4 linked regions of the Schizosaccharomyces pombe genome follow. The gene in region 2 interacts genetically with the main gene of each other region. Each region holds a gene or a part of one and is shown on either strand. Other genes may lie near its edges.

Evidence for each region.
Region 1: mutations in gef1 (region 2) and rhp7 together harm fitness more than expected from each alone (negative genetic interaction), as found in Schizosaccharomyces pombe (one large-scale study listed by BioGRID).
Region 3: mutations in gef1 (region 2) and urm1 together harm fitness more than expected from each alone (negative genetic interaction), as found in Schizosaccharomyces pombe (one large-scale study listed by BioGRID).
Region 4: mutations in gef1 (region 2) and mde7 together harm fitness more than expected from each alone (negative genetic interaction), as found in Schizosaccharomyces pombe (one large-scale study listed by BioGRID).

Annotation. Positions count from the first base shown.
Region 1 is NC_003421.2:102,810-110,202, reverse strand, and holds rhp7 (DNA repair protein), read right to left. Parts: upstream 4,524-7,393; coding exon 4,467-4,523; exon of another isoform or gene 4,419-4,466; coding exon 2,784-4,418; 3' UTR 2,355-2,783; downstream 1-2,354. Other genes in the region: SPOM_SPCC330.03C (cytochrome b5 reductase), read left to right, coding at 32-209, 265-332; SPOM_SPCC330.19C (uncharacterized protein), read left to right, coding at 1,866-1,885, 1,946-2,198; rhp16 (ATP-dependent helicase), read left to right, coding at 4,627-7,393. UniProt on the Schizosaccharomyces pombe protein: Involved in global genome repair (GGR) via nucleotide excision repair (NER), in conjunction with rhp16, after UV irradiation.
Region 2 is NC_003424.3:468,652-476,521, forward strand, and holds gef1 (RhoGEF for Cdc42 (Gef1)), read right to left. Parts: upstream 4,340-7,870; 5' UTR 4,249-4,339; coding exon 4,207-4,248; intron 4,152-4,206; coding exon 1,932-4,151; 3' UTR 1,330-1,931; downstream 1-1,329. Other genes in the region: SPOM_SPAC24H6.10C (phospho-2-dehydro-3-deoxyheptonate aldolase), read left to right, coding at 69-1,175; SPOM_SPAC24H6.08 (uncharacterized protein), read right to left, coding at 5,384-6,046; rps901 (40S ribosomal protein S9), read right to left, coding at 6,842-7,402, 7,448-7,462. UniProt on the Schizosaccharomyces pombe protein: Has a role in the control of cell polarity and cytokinesis. Involved in bipolar growth, via modulation of cdc42-shk1-orb6 signaling, and septum formation. Stimulates guanine nucleotide exchange of cdc42.
Region 3 is NC_003421.2:220,417-227,930, reverse strand, and holds urm1 (ubiquitin-like protein modifier Urm1), read right to left. Parts: upstream 4,598-7,514; 5' UTR 4,547-4,597; coding exon 4,524-4,546; exon of another isoform or gene 4,481-4,523; coding exon 4,328-4,480; exon of another isoform or gene 4,245-4,327; coding exon 4,135-4,244; exon of another isoform or gene 4,079-4,134; coding exon 4,071-4,078; 3' UTR 3,845-4,070; coding exon of another isoform or gene 2,759-3,844; 3' UTR 2,609-2,758; coding exon of another isoform or gene 2,288-2,608; 3' UTR 2,172-2,287; downstream 1-2,171. Other genes in the region: hexose transporter Ght8, read left to right, coding at 1-1,174; ubiquitin-protein ligase E3 Dbl5, read left to right, coding at 2,288-2,608, 2,759-3,844; wtf meiotic drive antidote Wtf4, read left to right, coding at 5,230-5,365, 5,594-5,866, 5,915-6,205, 6,242-6,433, 6,474-6,536, 6,587-6,732. UniProt on the Schizosaccharomyces pombe protein: Acts as a sulfur carrier required for 2-thiolation of mcm(5)S(2)U at tRNA wobble positions of cytosolic tRNA(Lys), tRNA(Glu) and tRNA(Gln).
Region 4 is NC_003421.2:152,373-159,882, reverse strand, and holds mde7 (RNA-binding protein Mde7), read right to left. Parts: upstream 3,978-7,510; coding exon 1,692-3,977; downstream 1-1,691. Other genes in the region: SPOM_SPCC320.06 (uncharacterized protein), read left to right, coding at 380-632, 690-1,306; SPOM_SPCC320.08 (transporter), read left to right, coding at 7,059-7,510.

The sequences.
Region 1 (7,393 bases), on a different chromosome or scaffold from region 2:
TTCTATTGTGTTACTAACACCGATGCTTTAGGGTGTGGAAAGTCCCATTTCCGTTACTGCTGAAGAACTTGCTAAGCACTGTAGCCCCGATGATTGTTGGATGGCAATAAGAGGAAAGGTGTATAATGTTACTGCGTATCTCCCATACCATCCAGTTGGTCCGAAGAAGATTTTGAAGCACTCTGGCGTGGATGCGACAAAACCGTACCGTAAGTCTTATTTACAAACCTTTCTTTATTTGCAGTTTTGTTAACAACTATATAGTTAAACATCATGATTGGGTTAATGAAGAAGAGTTGTTAAAGACCTCTTTTGTTGGTTACTTGGTGTAAACAAGAAGTCAATTGCCAACGAAATTCCCTATACCCTTTGAAAACATAGCAAAGTGGAACAATATGTATCTTTGTGGGTTGTGATCCTGGCGAGAAACATATGGTTTTGCTCGTGTTCTGCTTACACCCATGTCTAAAAATTTTTTCGCATATTTTTTATGACTGATATTTTTATTATTCGGGCGCAGAGCTTTGCTATGTTTTAGTTTCAAAGAGTTCATGTTTAAATATTTAAATCTACTTAACTTTTTATCCCGCTTTGTGTGCTTACAAGAGAGTATTGTGTATGATCAGTTATAAACTTGTAGTGTATTTGGTATAAAGCTTTGATTTGTTTAAAAAATTCCGTAAAACAATGATCGCATTAAGCATTGACTAGGGTTCTTTTAATTTTAACAATCGTATTGTTTTACTGTTGTAGCCGTATTTTCAATTGGTTTTAATGGAATGAACGATGATGAGACACATAGATTAATAGTTGAGAAATTCGAGCGAGTAAGCTTGGAATTTTGATAACCAAAGAAAACAAAATCTGAAGTAATTCAGCATATCTCATTTTTTCGCTTGTCGCTCATCTTATTGATCAGCGAAGCACTTTAAACATAAATAGATCTAAATCACTTGTTCAAATGTTCACTGTATTTATTCAATCTATTCATTCTACCGGATTCAAAAAACCTTTATGTCACATAATATATATAACAAGCCCTTCAATTGCTTCTGAAACTGAGTTTAATGACTTGTTTACATAAAAGTCGCAACTGCGAATTCTTTATTCAACACAGCCAAGGAAGTTCAACATAACTAAAGTTGTTTTTAACTATGAGTTGGTTATAACACATTGTCGAATATTCATTTGTATGTATGTTGTACTATACAATGATGAAGGATGTTTTATATCGTTTGTAAGTTGAGACTGCAAAGTTGTAGTTCTGCTGTCCCCATTTCTTTAATATGTAAACTGATAATTAACCAGAATATATGTGAGTAAATAAATGTATGTTATCTGTTAGCTACGCAGTTTGATATCTGTTTTAACGATATATAGAACTGCGGTGAGTTTTTACTTGCGATCTACAATGTAGCGGTATGCGGTATGTTAACTAACAATATTATATTTATTGTTATAAGAAGTCTGTTAGTATCGGTCACCGATATAGCTCATAACTGAACTGTGAAACGAGGTTCAGTAGAAGCTCCATTTACAATCTTACTAATAGTTTTTATCAACGGGTATCTATAATACAATGTAGAGCTTGTGACATATAGAAATACGCAACATGGTGTATCATAGAGTAGTCCAGTATTGCTGACATTATCTCCGCTTTAACAATCGTCCCTTTAGCTCTGCAAAATAGATAGTATATAAGGACTAGGGCCTGCCTGGCTTAAGTGAACTCGTTTTCTGGAAGAAAGCCCATTCATTCTCTGACCATTTGCTCTATATAAATTGATATTTCACAGGTTTGAAGATAGCCTCTTTCAAGATGTATATTAATCAAGAGGAAGATAATCGCATATCTTTAATGGAGAATGGTAGTCTTGAACAAAAGGTACGTTTAATCATTCTTTTATAATAAATCAACGGCTCACTAAGTAATTCTTCTTTATAGTGAGGCTCATGACCGTAGTCGTAAACTCGAATTATTAAGCATTAGAATCAATATTTTCGGTTTACAACTCAATATTATTATTAATCTCATACCGCTTGTCTTGCTTTTTGCTTTTTTTTGCCCTTGTATATATTTTTTGCATACTTTTCTGGCGGATTGTGAGATAGCCAAATCGACTTGCATAACCAGTGTTTTCAATTGTTTGATTTTTCATATGCCCAACTTGTCGGGCGATTGGAATATTACAGTTTGAAAAGAATGTTTGCAGTTTAAAAAGGATAAATATTTATGTTTGTTTGATGAGCTTTGCGTTTCCGAGCAGCAGTAAACCTCTTTAGTCTGGCAAGCAATACCATTAGTGTACTATTCATAATCTTATGCTATATAAAATCAAGGTGATTGAAAATTACATTGCTTGATATTTGTATTACAACAAAGAGCAGCGGGATTTTTTTTTTAAAAAAAGGTAGTTAAATTGTTTGATTATGTGTAAAAATGATTCGGAGATCCATTCGTAAAGAGAGGGAATGGTAATAAAAAAATAATTCATTACCCAAAGAAATGGTTAGCTATTTGTTCGCAGACCATATCATCTAATTTGAAAATAAATAAATAAATAAAATTAAAAATAAAAAGGTTTCAAATACAAATATTCGTTAAAGAATAATATCAGAAAGACACAAAAAGAGATTGAGGCTGTTCAAGGAACTTAGTGTCCATCAAATAAGGTGATAATTTAAATAATGTACTAGTCATTAAATTTTTCAAAAGAATAATTACAGGTCCAATTCAACAACCAAAACCTTTGATAAAATTGAAAAAGAAAGTATTTCCATCCTTATTGAACTTCACGCCCTATCAGAAGTAACCGATTTGAGGGCATCAGGACATGATTATCTCCCCATACCAAAAGCTTCTCAAGCGTTGGCTTTTTGCTTTCAAAATCGCATACCAATTTGTCATTCATTCCACGAATCCAGCTGACATCAAGTGCTTTTAGCATAGGTAATGGAAAATTGACAATATACTGTAATGCTTCATCAGTCACAAACGACATTCCATTTAAATCCAGAGTGCGAAGCGTATGCCCTGAATTAACCAATACTGCACGAACAGTTTTATCTCCAAGTGACAGACACCTTCTTAAGGACAATGTTTCTAAGCCTGACTGAATCTTCCATTCACCAAAAACTATAGAGGCCTCATCATCTGTTAACAGTTCCAAACCACTTAAATTTAGATGCTTAAGACGACCACAACAAGGACCTATACCTTGTTTCAAAACTTCATCAGTTAATTTTGTACAACCAGATAAACTAAGAGTATGCAAACCGCTTCCAATTTGGTTTAGTACATCTAATATACTTCCATCATTAATGATGCCGCCTGGTGATTCAATCTTCAAACTGACAAGATTTCTACAACCAGCTAATAGACGGACGCATTCATCATCAAGATAGAAAATTCTAGAGAGATTAAGGCTAATCAAATTTGGGCAACAGTCAACTATAGCGTTGATAACCGAAACATGAATTCGGGCAGTATCCGTAAGCTCTAAACTTATAAGCTTTGAACCCCGTTTTTTAAAAAAATTTATCCATTCTGAGGAAGAAACCAAAAAGGCACCTTGAAAAGATACATCTGTTAATTCAGTCAAATGATCCGCATAAAAGTGTAAAACTTGATCCTGCATTTGACCACAATAAGTAAGATGCAAAGTTTGAAGATTTGGGCAGTATTGAGCAATTTGGAAAAGTGAATCTGCTGTAATCTTTGAGCAATCATATAGTTTTAATTCAGTTTGACCCCCACTTAAGAATAATTTCACAGTAGTATCGTTAAGAGAGCGGTTTTTTGAAATTATTTGGCTAATTTTGTCCATATTCACTTGGCCAATATCCCCAAAAGCTTCGATATCATTTATGTATTCAGCAATAACTCGTATACACAAATCCTGAAGCTTAGGAACACTGATTTCTTCGTCCATGGTAGCGGCAGCCACCTTTTTACGGGTCAATGCTTTTCTTTTTCTCGTCCTTAATTCAGGTACCGATCGATCTTCAGCACCACGACTACAAGGATAACATAGCCACCCTTTCTCTGAATTGCTGTATTTGCTGTATGGGGTTATTGTAAAGCGACAATTACAGTGTGCGCAAAAATCTAGTTTGCCCGTATGCTCCCTTGCTTTATAAGAAAACCCAGCTCTTGAATTCATTGAAAAAGTGTCCTCGTTGTCTTCAGCTTCTTCATCCGTTTTCTTCTTCTTTTTTTGATTTCGTAGATTTCGTCGTTTCACTACTGGTATCTCAATTGTCGTTGTCGACATCGAGTTTTCATCTTCGTTGTTTTCTTCAACAGAAGTCGGTGTTTGAATAACTTCTGATTCTGTCCCAGTCGATTGCCCTGCTGACTCCTCGCTTTGACGAGGAGGACGAGCACGTCCTAATGCTGAAGCATTGATACCTTGAGACTGAATAATGCATTAGTAACTCCGAGCTAAGAAAGAGTCATCACATACTCTTAAAAATTCTGTTAAAGCAGAATTTGGCCCTCTCACCCGACTTCCACTTGACATTTTAAAGAAATCCTTAGTATGCTGAGGATAAGGTGGAAGTGTGGTTGAGTTTAATTAAATCGCTTCAGATCGCGTGGCAACTTGTCTCATACCAACCACTACTATGCATATATCTACTCTAAAAGTGGACCAATTACAAAATGAAGCTGTAGATATTAATTCAAACGATACAATTGATTCCATAAATTGGAAAAATACTCGCAATAACCATACTACTCAGGCGTCTCTTCAAGCAGACAATAATGATGAGCAAAGTAATGGGCAGGCTCCATTTTCTACTACTTATTCAGAGATAAATAACATTCATGATGTACCAGGCAATCAAGATGAATGGTCATCTTCTCCCATTGCGGGCATTATTGTAGAAAGTGAAGATGAGGAAGTGGTTGAAAACAATTTACATTCACAAATGGGGACGTCATGTAATAAAATAAACTCGAATAGTAATAAGGGAAAAGAAAATATGCATTTTGTTCTAGATGATAATGGTGATTCAAAGGGGAATGCTTCAAATCAACAAGTCGAGCGTGACGACAAGTTAGATATGGAGACAACGCGCTGGAACGGAAAAGAGTTTGAAGAACCTCTGTCAACAAACAAAAAATTGATTATCCAGTCAAACAACACCTCATCTCAACATTCGACACCCCCATTATCCATTTCTGATACCAGTACACACACCGGTAGCAGCACAGACAATGTAGAAGCAAATCCCAATACAGGTTTTTCTAGTGCCAGAAAACGTTCATTAAGGTCCTCGAATTTGAAAAAAAAGTTTGTGCCATTGTCATCTCCAGAAGAATCTAATGAATCCGAATTTATTGATGATGATGAAAGTGATGAAGTTGCTAGCATAATTGATATCAAAGAGGATGAAACTTTTGATAGTAAAGTAGAAATTCCAGAAGCTGCTCCAAGTTCTTCTACGGAAAGTGATGAAGAGTCAATCCCTTTAAGTTACCAGTCCAAACGAAGGAGGGTATCCGCTAGGGCTTCTTCTTCCGCGTCCTCTTCCTCTAGAACACAAGCAAAATCAATTCCATCACATGAAAGAACCCATTATCGTCTGATTCGACAACATCCTGAACTAGAACATGTTTGGGAGAAATTGGAAGAAGAAGCACCTCGTGAAGTGAAACAGATCGAGCAACCCAAAGAGTTGGTCCTAAACCTTCTCCCTTTTCAACGAGAAGGTGTATATTGGTTAAAACGACAAGAAGATTCCTCTTTTGGTGGAGGAATCTTGGCCGATGAAATGGGTATGGGTAAGACTATTCAAACAATTGCGTTGTTGCTTTCAGAACCTCGAGGTAAGCCAACCTTGGTTGTTGCTCCGGTTGTAGCAATTATGCAATGGAAAGAAGAGATTGATACACATACCAATAAAGCACTGAGTACATATCTTTATTATGGCCAGGCTCGTGATATTTCAGGAGAAGAGCTTTCGAGCTATGATGTTGTACTAACGAGTTACAATGTAATTGAATCAGTTTACAGGAAGGAACGCAGCGGATTCAGAAGGAAAAACGGTGTTGTAAAAGAAAAGTCATTACTTCATCAAATGGAGTTTTACCGAATTATACTTGATGAGGCCCATGGTATCAAATCAAGGACTTGTAACACTGCCAGAGCTGTTTGTGGCTTAAGAACGACAAGAAAGATATGTCTTTCAGGAACACCTTTGCAAAACCGTATTGGAGAATTATTTTCACTTCTTCGGTTCCTACGGGCAGATCCTTTTGCTTACTACTATTGCTTGCAATGTGAATGTAAATCTCTGCACTGGAGATTTTCCGATAGAAGTAATTGCGACGAATGCGGCCATAAACCAATGAGTCATACTTGCTATTTTAACGCTGAAATGCTAAAACCAATACAAAAGTTTGGATACGAAGGTCCAGGAAAGCTAGCTTTTAAAAAGGTGCATTCTTTATTAAAACACATTATGTTACGTCGAACAAAATTAGAGAGGGCTGATGACCTTGGATTACCTCCTCGAGTCGTTGAAGTGAGGAAAGATTTATTCAACGAAGAAGAGGAAGATGTATACCAATCTTTATATATGGATTCAAAAAGAAAATTTAATACATATCTTGCTGAAGGTGTCGTTTTGAATAATTATGCAAACATTTTCCAGCTAATTACACGAATGCGCCAAATGGCAGATCATCCTGACCTGGTGTTAGCTAGCAAACGAAAAACAGTTGATATTGAAAATCAGGAAAATATCGTCTGTAAGATTTGTGACGAAGTCGCTCAAGATGCTATAGAATCACGTTGCCATCACACATTTTGTCGACTCTGCGTTACGGAATATATCAATGCAGCTGGTGATGGAGAAAATGTCAACTGTCCAAGTTGTTTCATTCCCTTAAGCATAGATCTTAGTGCCCCTGCTTTAGAAGATTTTTCTGAAGAGAAGTTTAAGAATGCATCGATTTTGAATAGAATTGATATGAATAGTTGGCGTTCATCTACAAAAATTGAAGCATTAGTTGAGGAGCTTTACTTACTTCGTAAGAAGGACCGAACACTGAAGTCGATTGTTTTCTCTCAATTTACTTCTATGTTAGATCTCATTCATTGGCGACTTCGAAAAGCCGGGTTTAATTGTGTAAAGCTAGATGGTGGTATGACCCCCAAAGCGAGAGCAGCTACTATTGAGGCTTTCAGTAACGATATTAATATTACCATTTTTCTAGTTTCGTTGAAAGCAGGTGGTGTTGCTTTGAACCTTACAGAGGCATCTCAAGTGTTTATGATGGATCCTTGGTGGAATGGAGCTGTACAGTGGCAGGCAATGGATCGAATTCATCGTATTGGACAAAAAAGGCCGATAAAAGTAATTACCCTGTGTATTGAAAATTCCA
Region 2 (7,870 bases):
TTACAGATGTCTTGAGAACTACATTATACTAATGGCTTGTCTTCTACAAGTTAGAAAATCATTAAGAGATGGACAAGCACACTCCTCTTCTTCCTGGCGACAGTGTTTTTTCACGTTGTAAAACTGAAGATAGTCGTATCAAAGGCTATGATCCAGTAATTTCACCTGCTTTAATTCAATCAGAATTAGCAGCCTCTGATGAAACACTTGCTTTTGTGTCGGATCAAAGACGCCAAGCCGCCGATATCATTGCGGGACGTGATGATAGACTTCTTCTAATCGTTGGACCCTGTTCTTTACACGATCCTGTTGCCGCCAAGGAGTATGCCATTCGCTTGCAAAAGGAGGCTATTAAGCACAAGAAGGACTTGCATATTATTATGCGCGCCTATCTTGAAAAGCCTCGTACAACTGTTGGATGGAAAGGGTTGATTAATGATCCCGATTTGGATGGATCTTATAACATTAATAAGGGTATTCGTGTCGCTCGACGCATTTTTCTGGAGCTTCTGGAAACTGGTGTCGGTATAGCGTCAGAGATGCTGGACACTATAAGTCCCCAATATTTAGCTGATCTAATTTGCTGGGGCGCTATTGGTGCTCGTACCACTGAGTCCCAATTGCATCGAGAACTTGCTTCAGGGCTTTCTTTTCCAATAGGTTTTAAGAATGCTACTGACGGTAACATTGGTATTGCTATAGATGCTATGAATTCTTCTGCCAACCCTCATCATTTCTTGTCTGTCACAAAGCAGGGTGTTGTAGCCATTGTTACTACTACAGGTAACCCTGATACACACATTATTTTGCGTGGTGGTAAAAGTGGGACTAACTTCGATGCTGATTCAGTGGCTGGTGCCAAGGCTAAACTCGAAGAATGCAACAAGCTACCTAGTATCATGATCGACTGTTCTCATGGAAACTCATCTAAAAACCATAAGAATCAACCCAAGGTTGCTGCTTGTATTGCTGAGCAGGTGGCAAACGGTCAGAAAGCAATTACTGGTGTCATGATCGAATCTCACCTTAACGAAGGTAAGCAAGCTATACCTGAGGATGATTTGTCAAGTATGAAATATGGAGTCAGTGTCACCGATGCTTGCATTGGTTGGGACGACACTACCGCCGTTTTTGAACAGTTGGCTGCTGCCGTCCGTTCTCGTCGTTCTCATTAACCTATAATGAAGGTTATTGAGACAGTTTTATAAAAATAAATTTTTTGGTTTCTTGTATAATAAATTTGTATTTGCCGTAATTAACAGTGTGACTTTTAAAAGGTTATTTATCGTACTTATCATTGCACTTTATCGGATGGTTCCAGACTGTTTCATCGTAAGTATTTTTATTTACGTTTTGGTTTTACTACGAATGTAAGAATTTGACCTGTTTTTGTTAGTCAACTAGGATAAATAACGACGAACAAAATTAATTCAATCAAAACCTAATTACATATTTTAAACATAAAACATAGTTAAAGTGAAAGTCAAATATTATATACATTATTAAAGCATATAAATGAAAAGTGGAAGCGTATGAACAAATAAAATGGCATAACAGCAGAAAAGCCAAAACGTTCCTAGTTTAAAAAAAAAAAGTGAAAAGACAATAATTAATAGCTCGACTTGAGCAGACAAAAATAATGAGATGCATAAAAGGAAGGCGTAAAAGCGTTTAGAATCCTAATTTGAAACTAAACTTAACAGGCCTCTGTGATAGACAAAAAAAGACCGTTAAAAGAACCTAAACGAATTGTAATCAGACAAACGCAGATATTAGGTTAAATAAATGTAATTGTGATGTTAAATACATGGAAGCTGCAAAAAACCATGGTCCAGAGAAACGTTTTCATCATTCAAGTAACATGAATGCAGTATATCTAAATGTGTATATATATAGAACAGATAAAAAATATTCGACTAAAGAAGTTGCTCTTAAACCCTCGCAGCTAAAGAGACACTTTTCATTAATTCCTCCAGCAATACCTCGTCATCATAATGCATGGGTTCAAAGGCTCGAACTAACTCTGCATAATCTTGCGTTTCTTCTAAGATGCTATCCCTCATGTCTTGAGGGATAAGAAACAAGAAACCTTGAGCGTAGTTTTCATAGAGAGAGCGTTGAATACCAATAAAATGATAAACAACACTGTGAAATTCCTTCTCAACAAGAGTAGAAATTGCCTCAAGCTTTTGAGCAGGAATCACAAATTCAGCGCTGATAATGAACTGAATAACTTTTTGAATCACTCGTAGGATATTTGTGATTGGGTTAAGGATAGAAGAATTTAAAGACGTTTGTATTTGAGAAGGAAGGTTAGCAGTCATCATGTGCGCAAGTAAATGATACTTACGCCACGTATCTACCGGCTTGTCTTCGGGCTCTAAAGCACTAAGCCCTTCAAGCTCTGCTAAAACCTTTTCAAAAACCGAAAATCCACGATGTACAGTAACGTACCACGTTTCCAATGTAGCATGTAAGGCTTTTAATATAGCGAATCGTTGTCGAAAATCTTGAAGCACTTGGCGTTGAAAATTCAATCGAGCATCAGTTTTTAACTCAGTAGATGTAGTGGTGGGCCTAGATTTATTCGATGTTGCTTTATAGAGTAAACTCCAAGCAGCGTCTCGTTTATGAGAAGCACTTAACGACCCACGCTTATGAGAAGGCTTCTGCTTCTGGTTTATACCAGATATTAACTCCTGTAATAGTTGATAAGAAAGGACCAAATCTGGGCGCTCAGAACTACTTTCAGGAGTAACATCAATGATTTTTTGCAATAATAGGGGGTACTTGAGTAAGCGCTGTAAAGGTTTAATTATTAAACTACCCAAATCCCAGGCGTTCGTGTATTTTTGAACTATTTTATCACCCTCCATAATCCAGGATGCAGTTGCAGGTTTCTCTCTCCATTTAGTGATAATTTTGAAAACCGAATCTTGACGGTTGCAATAACCAGTATAAATTTGACCGATTTCAGAAAGGCTTTCTAAAAAAATAAGACCTAAATTGCAAGGAAGAGGATCTATAAGCTGGGTATCCAAGTTTACACGCCAGGAGCCTTCACCAGCTTGATAAAGTCGACTATGGAATTCCACAGTAAAAGTTAATAAAGACTCTATATCGCCAAAAACTGTTTGGGCGTCAACTGGATTCAATGCACTGCATTCTTTGACCCGCAAGCCATAACTTTGTTGAATCGCAATGAGATCGTTTAAATAGGCAGCTTCAGTAGTAACCAGCTCTTTAATCAAATTTGCACGCTTTTTAATACGCTTATATTCTGGATTGATAGAACTGGCTTCAGACATAGCAAGAGATTCCTTTGATAAACGCTTACCTGGTGTGCTCGGTAAAGAAGTAGTGGCATACGAAATTGTTCGGCTGAGAGACTCATCAGTTTCCAAGGCCAAAATAGTAGAGTCCAACTTAGTAGAAAAAGAAGTAGTATCAAGAGGTGAAAGGAGGGACGCTGTAGACGAATGAGAGGAAGGCATACTTGCCAAAGTCACACTGGAACGCTTTTCTTGTTCATCCGTAGAGCTACCAGGTAGATACGCCGAAGTCCTGTTACTGCTAGTTTCAGAGGAATTCTGTGCCATAAAAGACCCTAGGCCGCTAACTCTTCGTGAAGTTCCATTGCTACTCGTGTTTGTATGTATTTTTCGAAGTGTTGTAGGACAGTTATATGATGGGGAACTAGGCAACGAAGGCAAAGTATATCGGCTAGACTGAGCATAATCTTGACGATTGCGGTCCCCATAAATACGATTAGGGGTTAAAGTAGAACTATTAGAGGCTGTAGAATCCCCATTTAATGAGTGGCTCATGTTGGAGTTTGGCAAATTGAAGGAGCCCTCCGAAAAGAATCTTCGGTGCTGAGACGATACGGGAGGAGTGTTTGGAGTTTGGGGATCTTGTAAAGCACGAGCAAAGCTTGCTCGAGACCTCCTTCCACTACTCAACCTGTATTCACTCTGTGATTCTGAAACATCGCCATCAGTGTCGTCTGATTGTCGGTAAGAAAGCGAATAACTGTTAGAAGGAAGGCTTAAATTGATAGATTTTCGTTTAATACATGCAGCTCGATGAAGCTTGCTTGTTCCAGGCAATCTTGGTAAATCCCTGTTTGCCAAGGTTTCAAAGTACTCAGGCTGATCAACATTGTTAACACATATACACACATTCAAATCAAGTATAAGGACATACGGAATCGGACATATCCGAAAGATCTGCTTTTAAAGTCTCCATATTGAAAACATTTGGAGAACAATAAAATGAATGACAATTTTGGAAATTTTGTTTACATGAATTTTATTAGGTAACGTTGTTGGTAAAGCACAGGTTTTGGAGATTTGGCGCCAACTTCTTCTTAATCCACTTTCAATACCTTCCACTTCCTTATCTTCATTACCAATGCATAACGTAATCACCCACGAAAAATAGTTTGCCAAAAATAGGCTTGGCTCAGCTTTTTGAGCGCCAACCGCGGACAGAGGCAGTTTACCTTTGTACTTGGTTTACAAATGGTTGCTTGCACAGGTACATAGTAATATGACTTGAGTATTCGATTTTGTGATAAACATTTACGTATTTACAATTTGTAATATAAGGTTAAATTTATTCATGTCTCCCTTTATGAAATTCTAGAAATGACAGCAGTTAAAATAAATTCCACTGTTACGGTTACAAGTTAATAAATTTGTTATTTCATTGTTTTAATTAGCTTAAATATTTAGAGCGGTTTTGTTTTCTTGGTAATGCACGTAATTTGCTTTGTTTTTTTTTTTTTTTTTTTTTTTTTTTTAATAAGTAATAAACATTAAAGATGTATATAAACAGAAATGAGAGAGAAGCGGCAGTTGATTGTCTTACATAACTTTGGTAAACACTGTATAATTTTAAAAGAAAATTTTTATTTTTTTTAATAATTACTTGAGGCTAATACGCTGCATTTTCTGTCTGTAGTACTTTTTTTCATATATTCAAAAAATCACGATATCTAATACTAAGTGTGTATGATAAACAGACCTAGTCAAAATTCCTAAATATTCTACGGTGTTCACTAAAAACAAATATAATGTTTCAGTAAATTAAACTAAAAATACTATTAATCGACAGGCCATAAGAAAAATATATATTGTAAAAAAAATGGAAACTTCCATTATATCTATTAAGATTTCTTCTAATTTCAAAAAGGAAGTGTTATTAAATCCTTTAACTTGTAACTTCGTTAGCGTCCGACATAGCTAATCATGCTTATAAATGGTTTGTTAAAATGCAAATGAGTAACATCATTAAAAATGATAGAATTAAGAAAAAAAGAGCATTAGTGTCATATAACTTGCAGCAGGAAGATTTAGAAAATATATAACAACATGTAAAGCTAGATAGCAAGGTTTTCAATTAGAGTCTTCAAAACTGGACACCAGCGCACACAATTAGTTACAACACCGGCACACATAATTTCTACAATAAATGCCTTCGCCTCACTAATGTTTCCTGTCAACGCCAAGCGACATGTTTGCGATAATTTTTGTAGCCAAAAGCCTTCCATGTTTTCTAGTTGACCTTGTAATAGTAAATTCGTTTTGACTCGTTCACCCAACATCTTATGAACAGAATCACTAAGATTTGATTTACTTTCTATAATTTGCAATAGGGAGTGCCTGACATCTTCACAAGAAGCTTCGTTCATACAATCGTTTGTTGTATCGTTAAACGTGGTAAAGATATCATTGTCACTGCTTTTCTTCATCAAGTTGAGAGGATTACTGCTAATTTGAGGAACAGAGATATTCGTGGGAGGAACAGATATACTCCTGTTCATAATTTTTGAAGGTGAAAAAGGAGGAAGTGGTGATTTACTAAGTACTTGACCAGCTAACGGTTTGGGTGCCAGCATGTCATCACCATAAACCAAACGTCTACTCGAAGCCGATTTCTTTAAACTTGATGTGGAAGACGTTCGTTGAGTTTGACTTAAAAAGATACCAGAAGAAGGATCGTTCCAGTGCACCTCAATTTTCCCAGTTTGATGTGAAGTCATGTTGTGTTGACGCAAATAATGTTGTTCTATGTTTAGTTTGTTTAAACGAACGAAATAAATAAGAATCTTTCTATCTCGACCAAAGAAACTGGCTGGTGTATTCCTTTATAGCAGTTCAAGAAGGTTTGTGGTAGTGGATAAGAAGAGACGAATGCAACATTGCCATATATCACATGTTCAATAAGGTGATTTCAGCAGCGGAACTATTAAAAACAACGGTAGTAGGAAAAAATGGTAAGGTTATTATAATAAGGATAAATATAAGTACTTAGAGCATCAAAGTTCGTAGCTGACGAATAATATCGACATTTTGGTGTAGTAAAAATTACCTACTCAGTTTTTACAATAGCGCTGAATGTGCAACGTACGGGAATATCATAATTAATACAATAATGGATTTCAAATAATAAAGGTCAGCATATTGCAATGGCTCCGATGTTTGAATAATTATCCATTCGAGCGATAGAAGTAATTAACATTTAATATCCGTAGAAGCTCAACTACCATCTAAAGCCTGAAAAACTTAATCAACGACCTTCTATTTAAAATCCGTTTATTACCTGAAGCAGCTTTTTTACAAAACAAACAACAAATTCATCATATTACTCATATGAAATAAACTGACACTACAATCTTACATAATTATAATCTACACATTAAGTACAATAATTAAAATTTCACAAAACAAAATTAACCACTATGCAATCAAACAAACTTCTTTATTAGGCAGATAGAAGCGGCTATGAAGAAATCCCATTTAGAAATGTATAGAAGAGAATGTCACACCTGCTTAATTTACTCTTCTTCGGCTTCTTCTCCTTCACCGCCCTCTTGAGAGCGGAGACGTTTTCTCTTGCAGCGACCAGGACGACCACCACCATAAGGAGAGGAGAGGGCAAAGTCAATGTGCTTTTGAGTATCCAAACGGACAACAAAAGAAGGAACATTGACAATTTGCTTACCAACACGAATGTGACGTTGGAAGATCAACACACGTGCATGATGGATAGACTTAGCCAAACCAAGCTTGAAAACTTGGGTCTGTAAACGACGCTCCAAAAAGTCTTCGATACGAAGTGCCAAGACATAATCGAGCTTCATACGAGTCTCATCCAAAATACCCAAACGAACAAGACGACGAATGATGGCATTACCTTCAAAAAGACGCTTGGGATCCTTCTCATCAAGTGTCAAAAGCTCACGGGCGGCACGACGAATCTTGGAAAGGGTAAGAGCCACACGCCAAATTTCATGTTTGTTTCTCAAACCGTATTCACCAGCAAGCTTGAGTTCGGCATCAAGACGAGCCGACTCGAAAGGACGGCGAGGGACCTTGTAAGTCTTGGATTGCTTGCGCTAATTTAATGTTAGTAATACTCTTATATACACTTGATTACTTACAGGTGCGGAAGGCATTTTCGTGGTGAGAAAAAGCACACCGTGTTCATTAGAGATGTGTTGTGGCTTGTGACTGTCTTCCAATATAGGGTAGGGTTTTTATTTTTATCGCAGTGTTGTAGGACTATACTTCAACAAGTTAATTTGTTTATATGTAAGAATTATGCTTTTCTCGATTTGATTTAATTTGTTGTAAAATATGCCAACTTCCAAAACGTTGGTAACGTTTGTTACTGTTGTTGAACCGCAGTATCATTATTTCATTGATGTTTTTCATTTTTCTTTTTTACTTATACTTATTGAGAAAATAATTCAAAAAAATTTAATAGCTGATTCATTGTGTAAATAAATATCGTAATCTTTAACCTGAGAGACTATCTCATACCCTCCTATATGACTTCATTCAAGATACTACACGAGCTGAGA
Region 3 (7,514 bases), on a different chromosome or scaffold from region 2:
TGGTATTTTCATTGCCGCTTGTATCAACATGGGTACTCACAAGTTGCACAAGACTGCTCAATGGCGTGTATCCATGGGTATTAACTTGCTTTGGGGTATTATCATGTTCATCGGTATTTCTTTCCTTCCTGAATCCCCTCGTTATTTGATTGCTATTGGTAAAGATGAAGAGGCTCTTGACATTATGTGCAAAAACAACGTTCTTCCTCGTGAACACGAAATTATTCAAACGGAATACCATGTCATTAAAACTGACTGTGAAGCTGAAATGGCCGGTGGTCCCGCTACTTGGGGTGACATTCTAGGTGCGGATATTCGTTATCGTACCTTCCTTGGTCTTGGTGTCATGTCTCTTCAACAACTTACCGGTGATAACTACTACTTCTACTATGGTTTCGAGGTGTTTGAGGGTACTGGTATGAACTCTCCTTATCTTTCTGCTTTGATTCTTGATGCCGTTAACTTTGGATGTACGTTTGGTGGTCTTTTCGTCCTAGAGTTCTTTGGTCGTCGTATGCCATTGATTATTGGTGGTGTTTGGCAATCCATTACTTTCTTCATTTACGCAGCTGTTGGTAATCGTGCTCTTACTCGTAAGAATGGTACCTCAAACCATCGTGCCGGTGCCGTTATGATTGTGTTCTCATGTCTTTTCATTTTCAGTTTTGCTCAAACTTGGGGTCCTGCCGCATACGTTATCGTTGGTGAATCGTATCCCATTCGTTATCGTTCCAAGTGTGCTGCCGTCGCTACCACTGGTAACTGGTTGTGGGGTTTCCTTATTACTTTCTTTACTCCCTTCATTAGTGACTCCATTGGATTCAAGTATGGTTATATTTTCGCTGCCTGTAATTTGTGTGCTGCTTGTATTATTTTCTTGTTTGCCCATGAAACCAAAGGTCTTACCTTGGAAGAGATTAACGAACTGTATCTCTCCGGCGCTAAGCCCTGGATGCCTAGGCCCGAGAATCTCGGACAAGCTGCAAAGCAACAACAAGAGGTTCTTGAAAAATCTCGTGGTGTTCAAGGTGAAAGTGCCGCTCATCTTGAAAACGTTGACAATGAGGGTATGGAGGATACTTCGAGTAACGACATTACATCTTCTACCTCTTCTTCTGAAGGCCGTGCTAAGCCTGAGTCTAACTATGTTGATGAACAAGATCGCTACGCATAAGTTTGTTGACCGAAAATGGCAATGCTTTCGGTTTACACGAATCGGTAGTTTTTAAATGTTATTTCTTTTTAATGAGTATGTGTTTTTTGCTGATTCATCCTTCATTAAAATCGAATTGTATAATTGGATTTTGGCTGTGCCAACTTTGAGAGTTATTTTTTATTTGCATTTCCTTTGTCGTTGTTATTCAAACTGTTCCGTCCTTTCTGTTAGAGATATTAATATTAAGTTGGTGTGCATGCTTTTTAACTGGTAATGTTTTTATGAGTGGCCCGGTCCTTATTACTATGGAAAGGCGTTGATGAGGAACTGGCAGGGATTGCATTATAATTTTAATAATAATGTAAACAGATAATTTAGTTAAATGCTGATAGTTTTTTCGTTAAGGATTAACAAAAATTAAACAGTTCCTTATTTCTAATGTGCTATTACATATCGTTTTGTGTATTGCGAATTGTAGACATTGAGTAGAAAGGTATGCTGAACAGTAAATAAGCGTAGTATCTAATTGTTGATATGTTATTTAATCCTTGAATGTTTTTGAATAGCATTCGTTCAATTTATTTACCTGGTTAGAACGATGCAAAAAAAGGTTTCCGGTAAGTAATCAACGATATTTACGAGTTAAGTCGGGAGACGTTCAATTCTACTTAGAGTGAAACATTGAAAGCTATGGTTGAAAATATTATACTTAAAACTATACGTGAAATGCCATCGGTGCGTATCTGTGAATAATCCTCATAAAAATCCAAGCTACAAGAAAACGCTATTAGCCATGCTTGTTGAACGCAATCGCATTTTGTAACGTTAAATAAATTTACATATGCCCGAGATTACACTGACTACAAGTCACTAAATGATATTTATGATAATACCAGAAGAATTTGATAATGCAGTTGTAAACCGCTGCATTGCAATACGCAGAGTATTTGCCATCTACAAGAAATATATAAAGTACAAATCAATGGTTGATTTGCTTTGAAGAATTTGCATATAATTCGTTTTTTTAAAGGATTTTATTTAAACTTATTATTTTGATAAAGCTTTCTCTCCGGATTAGAAACGTTAGAGCTCACATACCAAGTTCAATAGTAATTTATCTGTCTGGGCGCAATGGTTAAACGCAGTTCTCATCGCCAAGTAGTTTTGGATGAAGACGATGAAGAAAATTATAATAATAACTTGGACGATGAGAAAATGGAGGTTCTATTAATTCCACAATCCAACAGCACAACTTTTGCGTCTAGTGATGCAACTCAAATGTACAAAAAGTCTCGCATTAGCAGTAATTCAGAAAATAAAAAACAAATCCCCGATACAAAAACTTTGCTCGAAACGTTCCAGAAAATAAAAAAAACTCTGGAATGTCCCATTTGCACAGAAGCTTTACAAAGACCTTTTACCACTCATTGCGGTCATACATATTGTTACGAGGTAAGTGAAAATTTGATGCTTAACACTGGAATAACTTTTCATTATCATTGAATTCCCTCATTGTGAGTGAAATATTGAAAGAGCAAGATTATATCTTTAAAAGTTTCTAGATTTACTTTTTTTCTATAAAGGATTGAAACTAATAAATAGTGTCTTCTAAATTGGTTAAAAGAGTCAAAATCTTGCCCAACTTGTCGCCAAAAACTGTATACACAACCTTCACCAGCATATCTTGTATATGAAATAATGAATGTGGTTGCTGCCTCAAACAGTGGCTTCCCACTTGTGGGAATCAATGAAAATCCAGCAAAGAAGCAAAAGGAGGTATTGTTTGATGGGATGTTTAAACAAGAAGATTCTCATTACCCAAGAAGTATCCTTGTTGATTCTGAAGATGGAGTTTTACGATGCGCTCGTTGCCAATGGGAATTGGAAAATCCGTACCATTGCGATCATTGCGGTTTTCAAATATCGGATGACCAAGATTCTGGTCGTGAATGGTTTTGGGATGGAGAAAATGCTGAGAGTGATTCCAGCCTAAATGGCGATAACACCCGTGGTGGGAATATCTCGACTAACCGCGCATTTAATAATATGGGACATGCGCCAATAACTGCAGTACCACAAGATTGGCTGAGATTTGACGAAGGAGAAGAATTTGTGGGGTCTGATTTAGAATCTGATTTTTCTGGTCCAGGTGAGTACGATGTTGATGATGGATTTATAGATAATCGTGCTACAAGCCAATTATCTCCTGTCGAAAGTGACGATGACTTCGTAGCTCCTGTCAATGGAAGTAATGGAAATGGTATTACTGCTTTGGATAGCACAGATAGTGAAGAGATTGATATTATGAACGGCTTCGATGAAGAGCGCGACTCTGGAGGGACGAATATGGTATCTCGATCTGAGACCTGTTATAACGATGGGCAAAGATACGATGAGTTACGAAGAGAGCTTGCTGACATTCAGAATGAAAGTTTGGATTCTCTCAATTCTTCCTCAAATAATTCTCCTTCTCATAACAATATTCATTCCAGGCAACATCCATTCTCATCAGATGAGGATGAAGGAAATATTGTAACTAATGGAACAGGCCTCCGTAGTTCACAATCATCCAGCCAGAATAGAGGATTTGATCTTGAACCCTATTCCGAGGTATTCACTGCAAGCTATCCACGTCGGCAAGCTCGGCGAACTCGTACAATACAACTAGACTCTGACGAAGAATCATAATTACTCAACTCTAACGAAGAAAAAATTATACCGAGAAATCAAGTAACCTTAACCTGGTCTATGGTTTCTGTTCATGATGAATGATTTAATTGTGATTTGGATTTTGGGTCTCTAGAGCATAAGACACTAAAATTTAGCATACATGTCGGATTTATGACTAAAAAAAAAAATTCAATACTAATGATATTTGTGCATGTTTGTTTTGTCTTATAATTATACCTGCCATTTAACCTCCTAGTTGATACAATTAGTTTTAAATATTATAAAAAAAATGCTAAATATTGTTTTACCGTGTAACGTTGAGACGAATACAACTTCGTCACCTTCTTCGAGGTTATATTCTTCCTTTTCAAGAAGTTCCCAATCCTGGTCATTTACTAAGACGATGATCCCCGGACGTCTGCAGGGAAGTGTTAGTTCTGCAAAATCATTTAAAACATCGTTTGAGCCTGAAAAAGATGATACCACTCCATGTTCACTTACACAGTCCCATTTAAAATAAATAAATCTTTTTGAGAAGGCTTTTCTATTATTTGAGCCATATAATCAATCAATGATCCCAACTTAGTTGAGCCAAGGTTTGAAAGTGACAACGACAACGCTTTCTGCTTATTGAAGAGCAAGTCAAGCCCACCTCTACAATAATAGGTTACCAATTGTAATAAAATATGACACCTACAGTAACTCTACTTTTATAGCCATTGTTTTTTAAAACTTTGGGGATTCGTGAAAGCAACGCAAAATGTACGTTCTAACTGTATATTCCACTGTAGTTGTTAAAGAGTGATAGAAATTCAGTGTCATGTCAGCTACGCAGTTTGGTATCTGTTTAGCGTGTTTTATGACTCACTACGTTATGTATCATTATATGTCACACGCTAACCACCGTATTATGAATACCCGTTGATAACAACTGCTGACTCGATTCCTCAGTTTAGTTATTAGATATATTGGTATTCGATACTATTAGACTTCTTATAACAATAAATATAATATTGTTAGTTAACAGGGCGCATACCGCTATATTGAAATTACTAAAAACCTCACCGCAGTTCTACGTATCCGTAAATCAGATACCAAACTGCGTAGCTTACATTTAAGGAAAGCTAAGTTGGGGTGAATAAAAAAGGCAGTGACAAAATAAATGTGTCAGAAGCAATCCACTGCCTCGTTCAGTTTTTTCGTTCTTCTTTTTTTATGCCATTGTTTGAAGGAATTAGTTGGAAATTTGTTTGAACAATTTTATTATTTTGTTAAAAAGTCTTTAAAGTGGTTGGAATTGGACTACAGAGTGAATATTCTTGATTTCGCTGTTTCGTTTGTCGCAATCACAACAATTGAACTATTTGTGTGTATATCATTCAATAATAGATTGTTTCTAAGAAATGAAGAATAAAGATTATCCCTTGAGGTCGTCTATGGATGAATTGAGTACAAAAAACGATAATGAAATTGATTTGGAAAAAGGTCCTCTCCCAGAATACAATTCAGAAGATGGGAGCACATTGCCTCCATATTCAGGTAAGTGTTGTGTTGTTGGTGGATAAGATAAAGAATTGAGTGTGTCAAGGATTATTTGCTGTGTCTGTTTGTTTTGATTTACAATGTTTTTGTTGTATTTGTTTGTTTACAACTTGACATATTACGAGCATAAATTCGTCTAACAGGGCACACACTTTCTTCCTTCTACATCATTTTAAAAAAAAAAAACCAAATTTCAAAAGTTATTTATTTTATTAATGCTTTCAGAAATTTGGAAATATATTAAAACTGTATCTGAGGATTCAAGTACAGGACCTACAGAAATTGCAAATCCCAATGTCGAAAGAAGACAAGAATTCAAAGATTCACATCCAAATATATATTCCCTTCTGAGACTACTAATATCAGTTCTTGCAGTTATTGTTGTCTTTTTTACTGCATGGGTTTGTGTAAACCCGTTGGAGAAGTCGATATTCGGCAAGGTAGCTTTCTCCGTCACAATTGGTATAACATGTCCAATAGTGTTTATTGTTATTTTCTGTAAGCTATGCATGAAGTTGTTAATATGTCCATTCACTAACTCATTAGGCTTCTTTGAAACTTGGACCCAGGCAGTGGCACAATGTATAAAGGTGACTGTAATTTTCTTGGCACAATGTGTAAAGGTGACTGCAGTTTTCTTGGCAAAATGTGTAAAGGTAATTGCGGTCGGTTTGTATAACTCAAAAAAAGATTTGGTGGTTACAATCTGGCTCGCATGGGTAGTCATTTGTTTTATACTCTTTGGTTGCGTCAAGGATGGTAGACTAAACTTAAATAAGGCACTCATCTGTTCCACATGCAGTATTTCGGCTGCTTTATTTTTCATTTTATTGCTTGGTAAGTGAAATTATCTTGCTAAACGCTAACATACAGTTTGTATTCCAATTTGGACACTCAAGCATATGCTTTTTGGTTTGTTTCAAGTGCTGGGTGTACAAAGTTGTGTCGTTATTGTAACGAAAGGTTTGATGTATTTATTTGATAAACATATCGACGCGACAGGCTACGAAATTGAAGCCTCTTCACTCTTTGTTATAGGAAATTTTCTTTTCTTTTACGAAATGGGTTCGTTATATATTCCTGTAATTTACTCTAACCATACCAGAACGTCCAGGTGCTCTCAAAAGGATGCCCAAATTTATCGGGAATGGTATAGCTTCTTTCCTAGGTATGTGTATTCAACCAACTGTATGAATGATTTTTTACTTACCCGACTAGGAGGTTTAGGAAATGCATTTGGAGGGATAGGAAATGCATTTGGAGGGATAGGAAATGCAATTGGGCGGATAGGAAATGCGTTTAGAGGTGCCAACGATAATAATGACATTCCCTTGGGAGAAATGGATGTTGAAAGCGAAGTCTAATTGCTTTATTAATGTGGTTGTCGCTCCAGTTGGAAAACCTCTTTACCAAAATCACCAACGCAGAGAAGCTGCGGCGTTTTTTAAAAATAAGCACCAACATACTTTAATTATTCTCTTGCCTTATAAGTTTGTGAGATATAAGCTTAACTCATTCTTTCAATTACCAAAAATTGCCAACCAATGCATTCTACGATGTTGGATAATGTGCATTGAGGACCGAAGTCTTTATTTATTATGTATGCGAGTCTAATTATGTGTCTTTTTTAATGATACTCTACGCTACAAACAATAATGGTTTAACTTGTTTACGACAACTTAAAATCAACTAATGAAATCGGAAAACTCGTTGTTCCGCCTTGTTAAATTCACAATTTCATTTTCGTTTATTGCATTCATTTCTCCTTCATCTTGATTCTTAATGAATCAAGCTTAATTATCATTTTTTCCATTTGTTTAATGGTTTACTTTAATACAAACAAATTTCAATGTTTACGAAATAATGAATAGCATAATAAAATATTGTGACTCAGAACGATGATTTGTTATCGTAATAACCTAAAGACATATTGCAATAGTGAGTATGTAATAACGCAGTAAACGTATATACTGGTTTTATGTTGAGTTTCTTAATGATGCATAAGGAAATCTAAGTTGGGGTGAATAAGAAGGGCAGTGACAAAATAAATGTGTCAGAAGCAATTACATTTTGAAAATGAGTTTTGGAATTTTACTTTTCACTTGCTATTATTGAAAAAACAGTTTGCTTTGAAACGACTATTGCT
Region 4 (7,510 bases), on a different chromosome or scaffold from region 2:
CTATTTTTGTTGCCTCTCAAATCAATGGCAAAATGCTTATACTTTGCTTTCTATTTATTTCCCATAGAACTATATATCTATGTATATATATTTTGAATAAAAATTAGAAATTTTTATAAATTGGCTTTTGTAAGTCAAGATAGAGTGTATAAACCTCTATTCGTTTTCATCTAAGCTATACTAACATCCTAAAAACTCATGTTTTCATTCAGCCTTTTTCATGTACAGTGATCATTTAATGAGTTGAACCGTGCCTCACTATTCATCACAAGTGATTCGTTAGGGCTCGAGAAATTAGTTTATTGAAGTGTAACGATTCCGCAAGTTCCTTTCTATTATCTAAAGAGAAATCGGCATTTGGTTGCTGTCGTGTGCCACGATGGTTCTCATTTCAAATACATTGCATTGCGCGGATGCTTATTCTAGTGCCGACTCAAAGCATGTTCCACTAACTCTCTCAACCAGAAGGATAAACCTACAGTCGTTCCAATCCATTTCTGCTCGTAACTGTGGATCCGATGCGCGTGTTTTAGATTTTGTTAAAAGTATTGACAATGACAATTCATGGAAAAGAAGGAACCTTGATTCCAAGAGAAACATCGGTTCGAGGAAAAAGAATCGTTTCCTTAATGGTATGTTTTGGGTCGCTGTTCGCATTTTTGAAACTATTTACTAATATCGACTCTCAGACTTGCATATATTAAAGCAAGCAGCGGATGATCCTGATGAGGTCGTTTATAAGGATTTATTTACCCACAGACCAGCTTTTGGTTTTTTAACCGTTGGAGATGAGTTTTACAAGGATGGAGTAAATAATATATCTTCATTGCTAACATCATCATCGAACCAGAGGTTTAACGACAATCACCATAAATCCATTGTTAAAAGGATTAGACATGAAATCAAATGTTACAACTCTCTGCAACTAGTGTTGTTGTTGGACGAGTGCTTGAATAATATTATGAACGAAAAGCTTTATGCTTATGACCACGACCATTCACCAGCGATATATGCTTCGGAAAGCTTTAATATTAAAGCAGAAATTGATACGTCTTCTTTTTTGGAAACGCAGAGAAGCTATCGAATTTATATGTTAATTGATTGTCCTAGCAATCCGAAAGCAACAGCCTTCGCTCGATATTGGATGCATTTGATTTGCTCATATTATGGTATTTACACTACTTCTACACAAATCTTATCAAACAAAATAATGACCCTCGGTGTTTCTAAAAAACGGAAGCATTTGTCATTCAAAACTCTTTCCGAACTTTTAAACCATGACGAACTAACAAACATAAATCGTTAATTCGACTTTAAATGGAAGACGTCGTTAAATTTTATTGCGTTATAAATTTTATTCTACATTTTGCAACCAAAGTGTGAGATCAAGTTTTTTCCAATCTAGCTTAGTGAAGGCTGACAGCATGTTACTTTGAATTTCAATAATTGCTTACCAAATTCAACCAAATTTTTTATTAATTATGCTAGTTATTATTATTTTTTTATTTTTTTTCTCAATAATTGTGGAATTTTTCACAAAGGATAAAATAATTCTGTCATGCAACTGATTCTGAATGTTAAAACTAAAAATCAAACGTTTTGACTTTGTATAGAAATAGAGTCATTTTCTTTACATAGCCTTAGCGTGCTCTTTTCAATAGTGTTGACTATTGAAGAAAAACTCACCGTTTCTATTTGCTAGGAAACTCAAAAATATCAAACAAATCGTTCACTTCCGACGAGTGAGTTTGGGTCCTGTTTAGTGTGGTGACACTGTTGGTTCCATTTGGTTTTGGAGTCATATTTTGAAAATGGTATTTTCGTTCAACAGCAGCGGATGCCTTTGCTGAGTAGCAGTCCGTGCTTTTCTTCGGAGGGCCGTGTTGTTGAAAAAGGGATGCTGTGGTTGAAAGGTTTTCGGTGGAGCGGACACCAAGTGGATTTTTGGAATAGCTTAAGCGAATGCCACCTTTAATTTTATCGTCTAATGCAGCACCTTGCATTTTTTCCATTGCTTTCGCAGCATGGCAAACTTCCTCAAATTCTACAAAACACATAGGACTGTTTCCCTTAATTTTGAAACATAGTCTCCGATACCCCTTCTCTTTTGAAAAAGCCAACCTAAGCTTTTTCTCTTGGTCTGGGTTGGACAAATTTCCCACATAAATTGTGTTACAGGGTGAGTTATGATCAGTTTGCACATTGGACTCTACTTGTTCCAATAGCACTTTATTATCAAATTCTTCTTCCTGAAGGCATTTTAATTCACAAACACGGACATATTCGGCGCTCCTTAAAGGGCGTTGTTTTAATGACGGGCGTGAACGGACTACTTTAAGGTCTGGCATAGGCTTCCACTTGGGCGGCGGCCTAAGTTCACTTTCATATGGGGCAACACCATTCAGTGGAATTGTACGTGGTCTTATAGCAGGTAGCTCTTTAACAGGGCTCGTACGTTCTAATCGCAATGCCTCTTCAAAAGGATTTGATTTATCGATAGCTTGTTTTGAAATAAAAGAGTTGTCTTTATGATAACTTGGTCTTGAAGGTAAAGAAAACTTTGCTTTGGGCGAAATTGCATTTGGATGATTAGGTTGGTAATCGAACGACGTTTGTGCAAAGTTATTCGGCTGATTTGATAAAGAATTAGATTCACCAATATTAGCAATATTGTTTGGCAACTGTGAATATTTGGCTGTGGGGTTTGTTAATTCATTGCTTGTAAATTGAAGCCCTTTGCTATTTTTCTGCGTTTGGAAAGAATATACGGCTTGCTCTTTAGAAGATGGCTGTAATAGCCTATTATTCCAGTTTGAAGGTGAAGGGTTTCCCATTGATGCTCGTGATTGATTAAGATATTCAGCTTTAGGAGCCTTTATTGGGTTGAACGATTTAAAAGCTTCCAATACCGCTGGATACGAGGTGGACATTCGTGATTCTGAAGTAACGTCCTTATTGATGACAGAATCAAAATTTGCTGGTGAAAACCGAGGAAACCCAGGCGTTGTTGAGTCATAGTTATTTGACAGGCGTTGGGAATATAAACTTGGGGTAGTCAATGGTGGAATGCCCTTGTGATATTCATTTTCTTGTTGCCTTACAACATCCCTTTGAATAATGGTGAAATTGTTTGTAGAAGACGCGTTTAACATGTTTTTTGCCTTTAATGCAGCTATTGCGTTCCGAAAGTATACAATAGCTTTTCGGTGCCCATTTTCACTTTCGATTTTTGAAAAATCATATCCTTCGCAGAATGTGAAAATTCCACTCAGCTCTCTATCATCAAAATCGTCCGGCAAGCCACCAACAATTTGAATGATAGAAGATTCTAAATCATCATTTGAAGCTTCACTAAGGGAGTTAGATCCAGAACTACTTTTAGAATGTACTGATTTGTCGGTATCATCAAAGTAATGTTCCGGTACCAAGCTAGGTGTTCTAGCCCGAAGATTTGGATTCAATAGAACACTTTGATCCAACGAAGGGATGGCATTTAGCGTTGCAATTGAAGATCGACTATCTGAAAGAAATTGATTTTGGGGTGGAAAATTTGGAGAGCTGCCTGTGCCTTCGAAACTGTTAGAATTGTATGCGGAATTCCAGCAATTATTGCTAATTGAATTATTTGCAAAATTACCGGAGTTTGACTCCGCAGTGCCCTGTAAGTAAGAGTTGTTCCTTGAAGGCACGGGCAATTTACCAGGACTTGATCCTACTGGGTTAAGCAGAAAAGGAGTTGTCGACCTTGCAGGTTGCTGTGTTTGTGTATATAATAAATTAAGCGGATTTGTCGTTGAATTCCTGGACAGTGGGGGTTTATTAAATGCTCCTGAACCATGAAGCAAAGAGTTGGTCGATTGTTGTTCTGAAAGAGAACTATGGTTAGGTTGAGACAATCCGAAGGCGGCAAGTTTATTTGCCAGGTCATCAGATTTCCCTGCTAGAGGTTGTCCGTTTAAAGCATAAAGTTGACTCATTATTCAATTAGGGATAATTAATAAATGAACGTGGCGGTACTAGAAACAGAAAATGCAAAATAGAACCAAAAGTATTAAAGAAAACACCTGTTTTACAAATTGATTGGGAACACCTCGATTTGAATCGTCGCAGGCAGCAGTTTTATAAATAGATCCTCCAAGAAGTTAAGGAATCAACAGAATATTAAACAGTAAATTCTTTCGTTTGAAAGTTATTTATTGTTTGTAGATGAAAAATTAAAAAAAGTGGTTTTTTTTGATTGGATACTATAAAATATGTTTTTTTTTGTTTGTTTACCTCGATAAAAAAACAGAGAAAATATAACGTTCAAGGTAACAAGACTGAGGTATGCAGAAGTCAAAAAAGAGATAGACAAACAATGCTTGTTTAAAATGCTCAAATCGGTCAATAGGCCTAGTGAGAGAACGGAATTTGCTTATGTCGTCGATGTGAGGAGTCAACGAGAATTTGAATTTCAAAAAAAAAAAGGAATTGAAAATGAAGGCTGGATTAATAAAAGATTATCGAGATTGTCAAAAAAGTAATGCAAAAAAGAAAAAGGCAGTCAATGTGTGAACGAGGTAAAAAATACTTAACTCGTTACTTGAATAATCTGATGAAAACAAAAATGTCGGAATGCTTTAATCGGCAATCGGTATTTAATCAAATGTTAGGGAACTTGAGACTATGCTTTATTTAAAAAAATAAAATGGTCTGTTGCGGGTTCACAGAAGGATGTATACAGGTTAACTTTGCAAGGAAGGTACGGTGATTTAAAAAGTTACTCTTTTAAGCAATGAAAGAGCGATGTTATAACCAATTAACAAGAAGGTTTACTAAAAAACCTGAACTGAATGACTAGAAATGGATGGTGGTAGCAAGGAAAGAGAAAGAATAGAATGGTTCTAAAAGTGGAATTTAATGTCAAAAATTCCTCGTATATGGATTGGAAGGGAAAAGAGTCAATTATTTCCAGAAAATATCTTCTGTATTGCTTCGCAGTATAAGATACACGAAATTAGGCTTTTTAGGACAAAGGATTAGACACGAGAAGATTTCTGAATCAAAAGTTAATTTCAAGCGTATGCGATGCACTTTATATGTATACGTTTTTGGAAAGCGGGGATGGAGGCTATTCTCTTACTTTAAATATACTCGATGATTACAGATTATTGAGTAAAAGTAGTCCTATGGAGGTGTCGAAGCAATTGAGTCATATTTTAATCAACACTCTAGACGCAGCACTGCGATCAAGTGGTGTTTATAATACTATTATTATTCTCCTTACGAATTTGCTTTCAAAAATAGAAAGATAAAAATAATTTACTGTCAACTATGAAGGTAAACTTTACGCCTTAAAAGTAGTTGCTGTAACATGATTTATGTTTGCATCAACCTTAAAACCGCCTATTTGCTGTCTATCTTAAAAGAAGCATATTCTTGTCAAAAAATATGGACAAGCAGTTCTTTTAATAAGGAATGAACTGTTTAAATTCACTTCGCTTTGCATGCTTTGACTTTTGGTTCCGTTTATTGTAATGTTTACATATTCAAGTACGAACAGATGATCAGAACTTGTGACTAAATTGCTCTTGAATAGATCAATATTAGAGAAGAAAAGTCTCGTTTCTCCTCATTTGCCTCGTATGGAAATGAACTGGAAGGCTTGGCAATTTCTAATATCCCAATGGATCATCTGCATGCTTTTGACTGCTATGATAGATGAGTGATCTCAGGAATGGTGGTGACAATTTTATTACACAGAATGACATAACGCAATTTCGTTAAAACCCCTAGCAAGCTTAATGAGTTCGGAACGACGTAAAGTCTACATAAGAGCTTGATCGTTAAATTACAGTATGTTAGCTTGCAGTTACGCAGTTTGTTACAGATTTAAGGATGCGTTAATTTTGATGGCTTGTAAATACTTGAGCAATAAGTGTTATTGATATGTCTATAATAAATTGATATTATAAGCTGTATATGAGTTGCTTAAAAGACAAACTAAAGAGCCTAGATTTAACCAACTGAATCGGAGCTAATTTCTAAAAAGTTAAACAATCTTGGAGAAGCTTATGCTGTGGAAGGGAGGTACCAAAATCATAGTTCAGTCATACGCTTGATTATGTTCACGTACTGTATGTCTGATAACAAGTGGCTTAGTTATTTTCTATCTTTTCTAGAGAAACATTCACTTATCATATTGACATTTGCTTCTTTATTCTTGAATATTCGTAGCAGCAAACAGGAGGACCGGACATAATAAACTGTCTTAACATTTACCAAATCGTTAATACTCGTGATACATGCTTAGCTGTTTTAATTGTTTATACATGTGTTTACAAGTTTAGTATCTTGATTCGTTTTCTACGTTACCGGCTCATTTGGGATGAACCCCAAAATATCGATTCCCATTAATTTAAATATTTATGTCTTACACACTTCTACAAGAGGGATAGAATACTACATAAATCAAGCTAGTTTTCCCTAAGTTATTTATACAAAGTCTTTTTACGTATTCTAACAAACAGTATTTTTTTAGCGTCGAGATTCTTATATTTAATACTAGTCCATAACATTCATCCCATCTTCATTGAATTTCTCTTAGTGCTGTAATAAAAAAAAGCAACACATTTCTTCTCTCTTACTCGCTTTTTTATTTCATTTCATCTAGAAGCTGGAAGATTTCTCTCTTCACTAAAATTAGCACATGTTGGGTAAAATCGGCCCCCCTACAAAGAATAGCAAGCCAACTCAGGTATTAATTTCAAAAGTCGAGCTTTTACTATTAATTTACTACTGCATTTGGAAACGATGAATGTACAAGCATTTAGCTCTAAAAGCCTTCGCTTTCGCTTCAGCTTTGTTAATTTTTGCATGTTATACATTCGTTTAACTTTACTCATGGTTATATCTCACATTGTTACTTGGGCAGTCACGCCAGGTTACAGCACTGAAAGAGGTTTTCCATGCGATGTTGAACTCTCCTTCTCACTTTTTTATTGTTTTTTCAATTTTTTCTTTCTTGAAACAACATTCCATAAACAGTGACTTTACTGAAAAGTGATCTGTAGATAGGAATGGTTGACGGTTCGATACACGTGCCAGTGCAAAGTCACGAGGGCCAGCACGATAACTCCAGTAGTTTGAATGAAGAAATTCAAACTTCACAAGACCCGCTAGGTATTGTAGAGTCATACCAGGAAAGCAGTACTTCTGACTTCGATAAAAGTCATTACACTCATAATTCCTCAATTGCTGCCGCCGATTCTGAGTATGGTAGCGCATTCATTCAGGGGCAAAGCTCTAATGGTTCAGAAATCAAGAGTGAGAGACCCTCTATCGACAAAAAACTAGACGTAAATATTGATTCTCATCCCATTGAGCCACCACCGTTTGAACATGATATTGGCCTTCCTGCTTCTCAAGTACCAGCCGCCGAGGAAGAGGTGGAGTCAACTCCAAAGGCAAAACCCCTTTATTTTCTACTAGATAAAAGATTTTGGATTGTGTTTTTCCTTGGTCAGGTTCT